Linked DNA regions of Coturnix japonica. The protein of the gene in region 2 binds, or shares a complex with, the protein of the main gene of each other region. Links are inferred from orthologs where the notes say so. Each region holds a gene or a part of one and is shown on either strand. Other genes may lie near its edges.

The links.
Region 1: the proteins of ROBO3 (region 2) and NELL1 are in contact, whole or in part, in a crystal structure (PDB 6POL), measured with the Homo sapiens proteins. The link is inferred for Coturnix japonica from reciprocal best matches to the Homo sapiens genes ROBO3 and NELL1. Residues at the interface, in NP_071765.2 of Homo sapiens: Ser553, Pro555, Val590, Glu592, Phe594, Pro596, Asn600, Thr601, Trp602, Thr604, Ile624, Leu626, Arg630, Gly633, Ala634, Trp635, Gly636, Leu637, Ser638, Glu639, Pro646, Val647, Arg648; in NP_006148.2 of Homo sapiens: Ala440, Lys441, Met442, His443, Tyr444, His446, Tyr458, Arg468, Val469, Asp470, Asp471, Phe472, Ser473, Asp478, Ile492, Cys493, Thr494, Asn495, Thr503, Cys504, Lys505, Pro506.

What each region holds. Positions count from the first base shown.
Region 1 is NC_029520.1:1,773,658-1,778,179, reverse strand, and holds the start of NELL1 (protein kinase C-binding protein NELL1), read right to left. Parts: upstream 2,842-4,522; 5' UTR 2,827-2,841; coding exon 2,763-2,826; intron 2,524-2,762; exon of another isoform or gene 2,424-2,523; coding exon of another isoform or gene 2,375-2,423; intron 1-2,374. UniProt on the Homo sapiens protein: Plays a role in the control of cell growth and differentiation. Promotes osteoblast cell differentiation and terminal mineralization.
Region 2 is NC_029539.1:196,005-200,463, forward strand, and holds the start of ROBO3 (roundabout homolog 3), read right to left. Parts: upstream 2,813-4,459; 5' UTR 2,603-2,812; coding exon 2,455-2,602; intron 1,201-2,454; coding exon 874-1,200; intron 678-873; coding exon 520-677; intron 450-519; coding exon 329-449; intron 259-328; coding exon 120-258; intron 1-119. UniProt on the Homo sapiens protein: Receptor involved in axon guidance during development. Acts as a multifunctional regulator of pathfinding that simultaneously mediates NELL2 repulsion, inhibits SLIT repulsion, and facilitates Netrin-1/NTN1 attraction.

The DNA.
Region 1 (4,522 bases), on a different chromosome or scaffold from region 2:
AAACAACCTCACGCAGGATCCAAGCACTTTCCTAATGAAAATTTTTGCTAACATCATTAGTAATGGGAACGGGTTCTGAGAATGAAAGCCTGATGCAACCAAAGTCAATAGTAAAACCTCTCACTGACTTCTGTGGGGCAAGGACGTTACCTGTGGAGCACATCTAGATTGATATCCACTAAGTGGAGTCCATGATCAGGTCTAAACTGATTTATTTGGCATTCTAAGACTGTGCTTCTGGATCATTTAAGCAGCAAATTCCCTAGTCCAACTCTTTGAAAGGCTCTAAAAAAACTACTGAGATGTACAGAATGAACAAGAAGTTACATATTCTGCTCATAAATCATCTGTTCCACAGTACTTTCTCCTTTCTTTTATTTAGAAATTAAAACTCCTCCTGATAACAAGCTGCGATAATCCAGAGGACATTATTGCACAGTACGCTGAGTAGTAAAAACCAGACAGTTTTAGTTTCTCATCTTCCCTACTGAAAGCAGAGTATGCTATTCCTTATCAGGAAGAGGTTAGATGGGTCTGGAGCAACAAGAACCTACTACTATGAGGGCAGCCAGGGTAGAGACTAAAACTTGCTCAATGGAAAAGACAAACCACATCCAGTAAGACAAATCCTGACCCCGTTAAAGCCAGCGAATGCTCCACCACTGACATCAAGAGGGTGAGGACAGAAACCACATCGAGCATGTATAGACACTCCTATAAATCACCGAAGCTCCGCTGCTCTCTTAAGGCTGTTAATTCCAGCATGGATAGCTCAACAAGTACAGATCACTGCAGCTCCACAGACTTCGATTCATGCCAGGGAGGGATCCCGTGTGACAATTTCAATGTGCTCCCTCCCAGCTTTTCGAATGCTTTCAAAAAAGGAAATTAGTTCTAATGTCGCAGCATCCATTTAGCAAAAGACTAACATTGCTTTAAATACAGTCATTTTCCTGTGCTGGCTCCCCAGCCTGCAGCAGGCACTCAGAAGCCTAGTTAAATAATTAATAAACAACAAATCAGCAGCTTCAGTATCATAACTAAGTCTCCTTTTCCCCTGTGGTCTCTCATGCTCTATCAAAAGGATTCCACAAGCACACCAACTGCATCCAGCACGTTCTGCTGCCTCCCTTCAGCATAAGGAAGGCTAAAAACACTGCTGCTTCTGGAAGTCAAAATTAACCATCAACCTGTAAGTCCTTGCTGGAGAGCTGTGCAAAGCTCGACCCTGACCAACAGTGCTTTCAATTCCTATTTAAAGTAATTGGGCCATTTCCCTCACATCAGTGGCTTACACAAGCAAAACTCCTACTAATTCACTCAGGGGGCAGGCATAGAAATCGTCTCAGGACTTGGTAGATTTGGCCCAATGCAAATTGAAGGCACTAGAGTAGATTAGAGGATTAAGCCATATAATTATGAGTTATGTCACTAGGAAATCCCTAGAAGAAATTAATTCCACCTCACGGCTCCGACAGCTCATACGCTCTGCTTGCACCTTTATCACGAGCACCCAAGCCCTGGCAATTACACCACGCTCCAGCTACCTAATGTGCACCATATGATGCGTGCAGCACGTTCATAATTTCCTTGACCCCGCCGTACGTGGGCTGCCTGGAGACAGAGAAACTTTGAAAGCACAGCCGACACAGCCCAGCTGTGCCCACACAACCATGTGCAATCATTCAGGTGGTAACTGGAACCTCCACCTGAGGCGTTTTGCTCGGCCCTTCCGCAGCTCCTGCAGCAATTGTTGCACACAAAGAACTTTCCGAGCAGCTTTGCAATTCCAAACAGGTGAGTTTAGGGTCCTATTTACCACCGCAAGTGCCTGCGAGCGTTGCTGGGGCGAGTATTAGGAACGGCGTGTTCTCCCAACTACTCCACTTACCACCTCTCAAAAGCAATGTATTTCAATAAGAAAACACTAAGAACAATATTAAAACACCGCTTCTTTCGCACTTCGGCTAATCGCACCGGCAAATTTCCCTAAGGACACCAACGGACACCAGCAAGGAAACGACCCCCAGCCGAGCTCCCTCCGGTGCAGGGCGACTCGCGGGGTAAATGGAGAGAACAAAGCCGCCACCGGGAACAGGCGCCGGGTCTCGCGGCTCCCCCGGGCTCCATCCACCGCGGACAGCTCTGGGCACGGCGCAGCAGAGCAGCCGTCCCCGCTCCCCTCCGTGCTCGATCCCCGGGGGCGCAGCCGCTGCCCCGAAACTTTCCGACCCCAACGCTCGCGGAGCGGCCGCGCCCAGCGCCCCCCGCCGCAGCCCCCAGAGCCGGGGCCCGACCCTCAGCCCACCGCAAAGTTTCCACCCGCGCTCCCATGGGATGCGGCTCCGCAGCCCCATCCCGTCCCATCCCTTACCTGCCCCGGCGGCGGCCGCACACGCCCATAGGAGCAGGAGCAGACCCATCGGCGCGGCGCGGGCGGCGCCCGCCTGCCTCCCTCCCTGCCTGCCGACAGCTGCTGCGGAGCGGAGCCGAGCCGAACGCAGCCTCCGATGCGCGGAGCGGCACCGGCAGAGGCGGCTCCGCCCGCTGCCCAGGCACGGCCCCGACGCCCCCGCGGCTGGGGCTCCCCGCCCGCCCCCCGCCGTGACGCGCGGGCCCCCCCGGGCCTCGCCAGCGCCGCCGCCCGGCCGCCGAGTGGGAGCGGCCCCGCACGCAGACCCCGAGCTCGGCAAAGGGATGAGACCCCCCCGCGCCGCCCCGCAGACCGATGGAGCGCCGAACTGTAACGCGGATACCCGTACCTTGCCGAGGGCAGCACCGGTGTCCTTGCTCGAGTGGCTTAACTGCTCTCCCCTCCACGTCCATCAAGCTCAAAAAGGGGACAGCACTTCGGTATACTTGCAAGTCATCGGTGAAGCTGCTCCAATGGCTGTTCTAAAGAATCTCTTCACCTACTTTTTTTTTCTCTCCAGCCACAACCTCGGCTCACGCACGTAGAAGAAACCGGCTCTAGCTCGCGACCCCCCTTGAACATCTGGTTTAAAGTTGGGTTAGAGATGGAGGGCAACTACTAGAGCTCCCGTCCCACCCAAGGCTAGCCCAGGTGGTCCTGCTTGTTCGATACAGTTCCAGTCAAGCCCCAGCTGGTGGAAAGGCAAATACTCCTCACCTCATCATGCTGTAGTTAGGCTCTGCTTAACACAAAACTAGGCCAGCTTGCACGCAAAAACAAACAGTTAAATAAATGTTTAAGTGTATGTTTGAAGGAAGCTGGGATAACACAAACACTGAAATAACTGGATTAGACATAAGGAAGAAGTATTGTACAACGAGGGTGGTGAGGCACTTTGAGGCAAAGGTTGCCCAGAGATGCAGAGGAAAACCTAACCCTGGAGACATGCAAGGATGGGGCTCTGCACACCTGATGGAGCTGTGGGGGTCTCTGTTGCAAGGGGAGTTGGACCAGGTGGCCTTTAAGGGTCCCTTCCAACTCAAAGGATTCTATGACAGAAGAAAATAAATCAAACAAAATAAAAAGCAATTCTTAAGGGGCAACTGTGCTCATGCACATTCACAATAGTGTGATCAGAAGCCAGCATAGCTGCCTAATCATTAATTTAGTAAGATCACTGAGAACAGCTGTTCCTGGCTGCTAGCAGGGTGTGCACTCCAGGAAACCTCAGGGTGCTCATCTCAGCAGTATCTCAGCCATTTACCCTCCAGTTTCAGTAAACAGCTTTTGCTCCAATGTAGCTTTGTACATTCTTGCTTTTGTTTAGTGTGTCATGCTATCAGCACTGCTGCTAGCCCTCAGGCACGGAGAGGTGGATTGTATACACATATGTGTATATGTTATATAACCATAGCAACAAGAAAACAAGGCAACGGCACATCCATAGGTGAAGGCACACCCTTCTATCCCAGCTCAGTGCTCTGATGTAAGAGGTTTCTTTCTAGGAAATACAGCTATGCATCCGATTCATAGTAGCTTAGTTACATTTGTGCTTATGGAATAACAAAATCAGGCTCTATCTACACACAAAATCAAATCTAATCCAACTAAAGTTTCTGAAAAGTCTGATAGCAAGAATGAAGTGTTCCTCCTGGCAAACTAGCTAGATTTCAGGTCGGATCATATTCCTGTCCTTGCACTGCCAGCAGGACATTAAATGCTTCTTGATTTTGACCTAAATTATCACGACGTCGCTAGCTGTGTGGTGTTAAGCTGCTATTTCTTCCAGCCACAAAGCTTGCGGCATTCTGTCATTTGACAAAGAGTTCCTGACTAGGCCTGGCCTCTCTCAGAGTGGCTGCAATGCTGTTTGCAGCCCTTGGACAACAGACAATTAGAAGTGCTAAGTATTGCTTACAGCGCTGCCAAGCATAGACTCGGATGCCAGCGGATGTGCAGACACTGGAGAGACAGCAGTGCTTACACCTGGATAAACACCTCCTACTTCACAGAGTAGGAAATCTTCTCTTTTCATTAGTGGTAAGGTTCACATCCCCCAAAGCCTGTTTCCCAAGGGCTGCTTAGTGATTCATACAGGCAAAATTGACT
Region 2 (4,459 bases):
CAAGGATGTGGGGTGTGATGGTTGTGGGGTGTGATGAGTACATGAAATGTGAGTGTGATGTGGGACATCAGACACCCCCGATTGGAACCTGCCGCCCCCCAGCCCCTCACCCCGCTCACCTTCCCGCCGGCAGCTCACCGTCCTCCCTGCGCCAGCGGGCGGTGGGCGGGGGGTCCCCCAGTGCCTCACAAGGGAACTCAGCCGCCTGGTCCTCCAGCACCGCCTGGTTCTGTGGCCGTCGGCCAAACGCGGGGCGCTCTGAGGGGCAGCAGCTGTGAGTGCCCCATGTTGGCACAGACCCCAAAGCTGCCGCTCCATCCCCACGCACCAAAGACCACCAGCTCTGCCGGCTCGCTGTCCCTCTCCCCCACCATGTTGGTGGCCACGCAGACGTAGATGCCGGCGTCGCTCTTGCGCGTGGTGGCCATCATCAGCTTCCCACCGCGGATCTGCCGGGGAGCCGCACTCAGACGAGGCCCAAACACCGACCTCGTTGTTCTGGGGTCTCCCAGCCCTCACCGTGATGCGCTCGTCCTTGTCGCTGAGCCGGGCGCCGTCCTTCTTCCAGCTGACAGTGGGCTCGGGGTGCCCGCGGGGTGGGACACACTCCAGCACGGCCGGCTCACCCGCTGCCACCACCACGTCCCCGGGGGACTGACGGAAATCGTCCCGCAGCACTGCACAGCCCACATCACAGGTGACAAGGGGGAAGCAGAGGAAGTCTGGAAGACTCCCCAGATCCCCCTCAAAAGGAATTATTTTCTGAATAAGAAGGGTGTAGGGCTGGAGATATGTGGGACCTCAAAACCATGGGGATAGGGATGGGGATGGGGATGGGGATGTGGAGATGGGGACCATGCAACTGGGGCTCACCAGCCACCTCCAGCGAGGCGTTTCTGCTGGTGGCTTCACCCAGGTAGTTCCTGGCCACGCAGACATAGACGCCCTCATCAGGTTTGCTGCGGCGGCCGTGCACGATGCGGAGGAAGAAGAGGGAGCCGCTGGGCAGCAGCATGCGGTGGGAGCGGGGATCCTCGTGGTCCGTCTCCACGCGCTCACCGTCCTTGTACCACTCCACAGTGGGCGATGGGCGGCCCTCTGCCCTGCAGCTCAGCGTGGCCGGCTCACCCCGGGACACCAGCAGGTCCGAGGGGTGCTCCACGATGCGGGGAGCAGAGTCCTCCAGCCGCGGGTGGGAGCCTGGGGAGGGGTTTAACACAGCCCAGGGGTGTGCGGGCAGAACGGCGTGAGAGGGAAGGAGGCTGAGGCTGCAGGGGGAGGAGCTGGTGTCCCCCCATGGCACCCGGTGTGTCCCCTCCCTGGTCCTTTTGCTGGATGCTGGTGGGGTTGGGGGGGCGGAGGGCGCAGGGAAGAAAACGTGCGGGACCTCAGAGATGCGGGACCGCTGCAGCGCCGCAGCTGCAGTTCGGGTTTGGGCCGCGGGGCGGCAGCGCTGCCTCGCAGTGCCCGGTACACGCAGGTGGCGGCCTGACGGGCCGGGGGGGTCGTGACGAGGGACCCGGGAGGGGGGGGAGGCACCGCTGCCGGGAAGGGGGTGGGATGCGTTGCCATAGGGACAGGATGCGTTGCCATGGGGGTAGAAGCGTTGCCATGAGGACGGGATGCTGCAGAGTTCCGGGGGGTCGGGGGGAGCAGCGGGGCGGGGGCCGCAGCTGGGCACGGGGATAATTGGCACCGGGGGGGGGGGGCGCACGGTGCCCCCTCCTGAGCCCAGCCGGCTGCGGTGGGACGGGGCGTCCCGCGGGGCTCACAGCGCGGACCGGCCGCCCTGGACCCAAAAGGAGCAAAAAGTTCGGGCTTAAAGAAAAAGGGAAGAACTCGAGAAGTGCCGTAAATTCGGGAGAACGACCCCGCAGCTCCAGAACCCGCTGAGCCCCGGGACTGTCCCGGCTGGGGGACACGGCAGCGATCTGTGGGGATGGGGGACGGGAGTTCGGTTTGGGGACACGGCACAAATTAGGGGACACGGTCTGCAGATACGGAGCCGGTCTGGGGACGGAGATCTGCTCCTGTTTGGTGCACGGGAGCAATATGGGGACACGGGTCGCTGTCGGTTGGGAGCAAGGGGCAGTTCGGGGACACACGGTGTGTTTGGGGATGAGGAGCCACTCCCAGTTTGGGGACAAGGGACAGGCTTGAGAAAATGGGGCTGGTTTGGAGATAAGGGACAGACCCCGGCATGGGGACACACGGTGGGTGTGGGAAGAAGGGGACAGTCCCTGGTCCGTCCCAGTTGGGGGCTGCGGGGCGCGCTGTGACCTGCGACGGGGCGGGATCGGGAGAGAGGGACACGGGGACAGAGGGACAGAGGGACAGAGGGACAGAGGGACAGCGGGACACGGGGACAGTGGGACAGCAGGGGAATGGGAAGGCGGGACAGAGGGACAGAGGGACAGAGGGGGAGCGGGGGCCGGGCCGGGACCCGACGCGTACCGTTGCCAGCGGTGAGGTTGCGGAGGTCGAGCGCAGCTTCGCTGCCGTTGATGCCGAGCAGCAGCTCGGAGGAGTTGGACATCTCGGCCGCCAGCGAGTCCGCGAACAGGTTCATCTGCAGCAGCGTCTTTAGCAGGTACCGCAGCATAGTGGCCCGGCTCGGTCCGGCCGGGCTCGGCACGGCACGGCCGGACCCAGTACGACGCGACTCAGCCGGACCCAGCACGGCTCGGCTCTGTTCGGCCCGGCCCGGCTCGGCCCGGCTCTGCCGGACCCAGCACGGCACGGCCCGGCACGGCTCGGCACAACGCGGCCGGACCCAGCCCAGCCCAGCTCAGCTCGGCACGACCCAGCCCGCAGCACCGCCCCCAGTCCCAGCGGGGAGGGGGGCGCGGCCAGAGCGGTGCGGAGCGGGGGGAGCGCAGAGAGGGGGTGTCCGTGGCGGGCGGGAGGGTGTTACCTTTAGAGTGGGGGCAAAGGGATCAGGTGGGACTCTGCTATAAGGGGGTAACCTGGGGGTGAGGGCTGAGGGGTTGAGGGGCAAAGGGATGGGGTGAGGGGGTCCCAAATGGGGTGGAATATGGGGGTTGGGGGGGGCAGCTGATGAAATCTTGGCATGTCCCGAGTGAGCTCCACCAGCTGGGCTCCGTTTTGGCTTCAGAAGAAGGAAGGGGAGGAAGCGGCAGCTGGGGATCCCCAGCCCATCCCAGAATGTGTTGGGTCCCAGCATCGCCCGTCACCCCATGGCTCTGCAGTAGCCACGTATCTCTCGAATTCATAATTGGCAATTAGCTGCTTTATGAATGTGCCAGGCCAACATGTGAAGCAATGTGCCTGTTCAAAGCTGGCTCCTGCTGATGCTAATTGGAGCCCGACTGCGGCCCCTCAGCGCACCCCCCAGGAGTGGGAAGGGGCTCCTCATGGTGCCACTAATGACCAGGCTGGAAAAGCTCAAAGCTGAGGCTGGCAGCGGTGGGGGGAGCTCAAAGGAGAGAAGAGGTGGGAATGGGTGATGGGGAGAAAACAGGGAAACAGCTGTGTGCACATCGGGAGGTTCCCATGCTCCCCTCTGTACACACAGAAGAGGCCACTTTCTGATGCACACATCTGGATGAACATCTGCAAAGGAGGGGTGCAGATGTGCTGCAGCACAAGTTCTCACCTGGAGGCGTCCTTGGGCTGGTGCCCAACCTTGTGTGGGTAAAATGGTCTCTGGGATGTTGACATCTGGTCGTGCACTCAAACAGCTGGAGGGCTCAGCTGAAGTGCAGGACAGCAGCTGGGAGGGTCCCGGTGTGGCAGCTGATCAAACATCTGTAGATGTATGGATGCAGATGGATGCTTTAAATTTGTGCATATCTGGAGGCACGGCAATGCTTCGTGTGCTTTCAGCCAGGGGTGTAAATGGAATCTGAGCTCACATCTGGCCACACACACCCGGCAGAGTGCAGCACACATGGTGGGTGCACACTTCTGGCACTGTGCTGCCATTGCAATGAGTGCACATCTGTGCACATCTGAGCTCCTATGGGGCACATCTGGGAGCCTCCCCAGCCAGGAAAGTCCTTGGAGCCCAAAGATGCAGCGTTCCTATCTGGGCATCTTCAGGGCCATGCATTATTCATGCTCCCTCTTGTTCATGGGCAAAGAAGAGAAAGCAAATAAATATTAATTTAAGAATAACACAAAGCTTTCCCATTTCTCCTGCTGGGGTTCAGCAGCCCAGGGACTCCTGTGAGGAAAAAGCAGCAATAAATGGCCTGCAGAATAACAGGTTTATCCAACTATTATCTGAACAGTTCTCTGGAATGATAATTGAAAGCAATGCCAGAGTATTGAATTAGGGAATCTGTGCACCTTTAACAGCTGAGCAGGGTGGACGGGGCATGGCCTGGGAACAGAATGGAGAACCCTCCCTGTTATCCTGGGCCGAAGTGGAGTGATGGGCTCTGAGGGGCGGCACATACAGACCCCACTCCTGAACCCTCCCTCTTGGGAGCAGGGA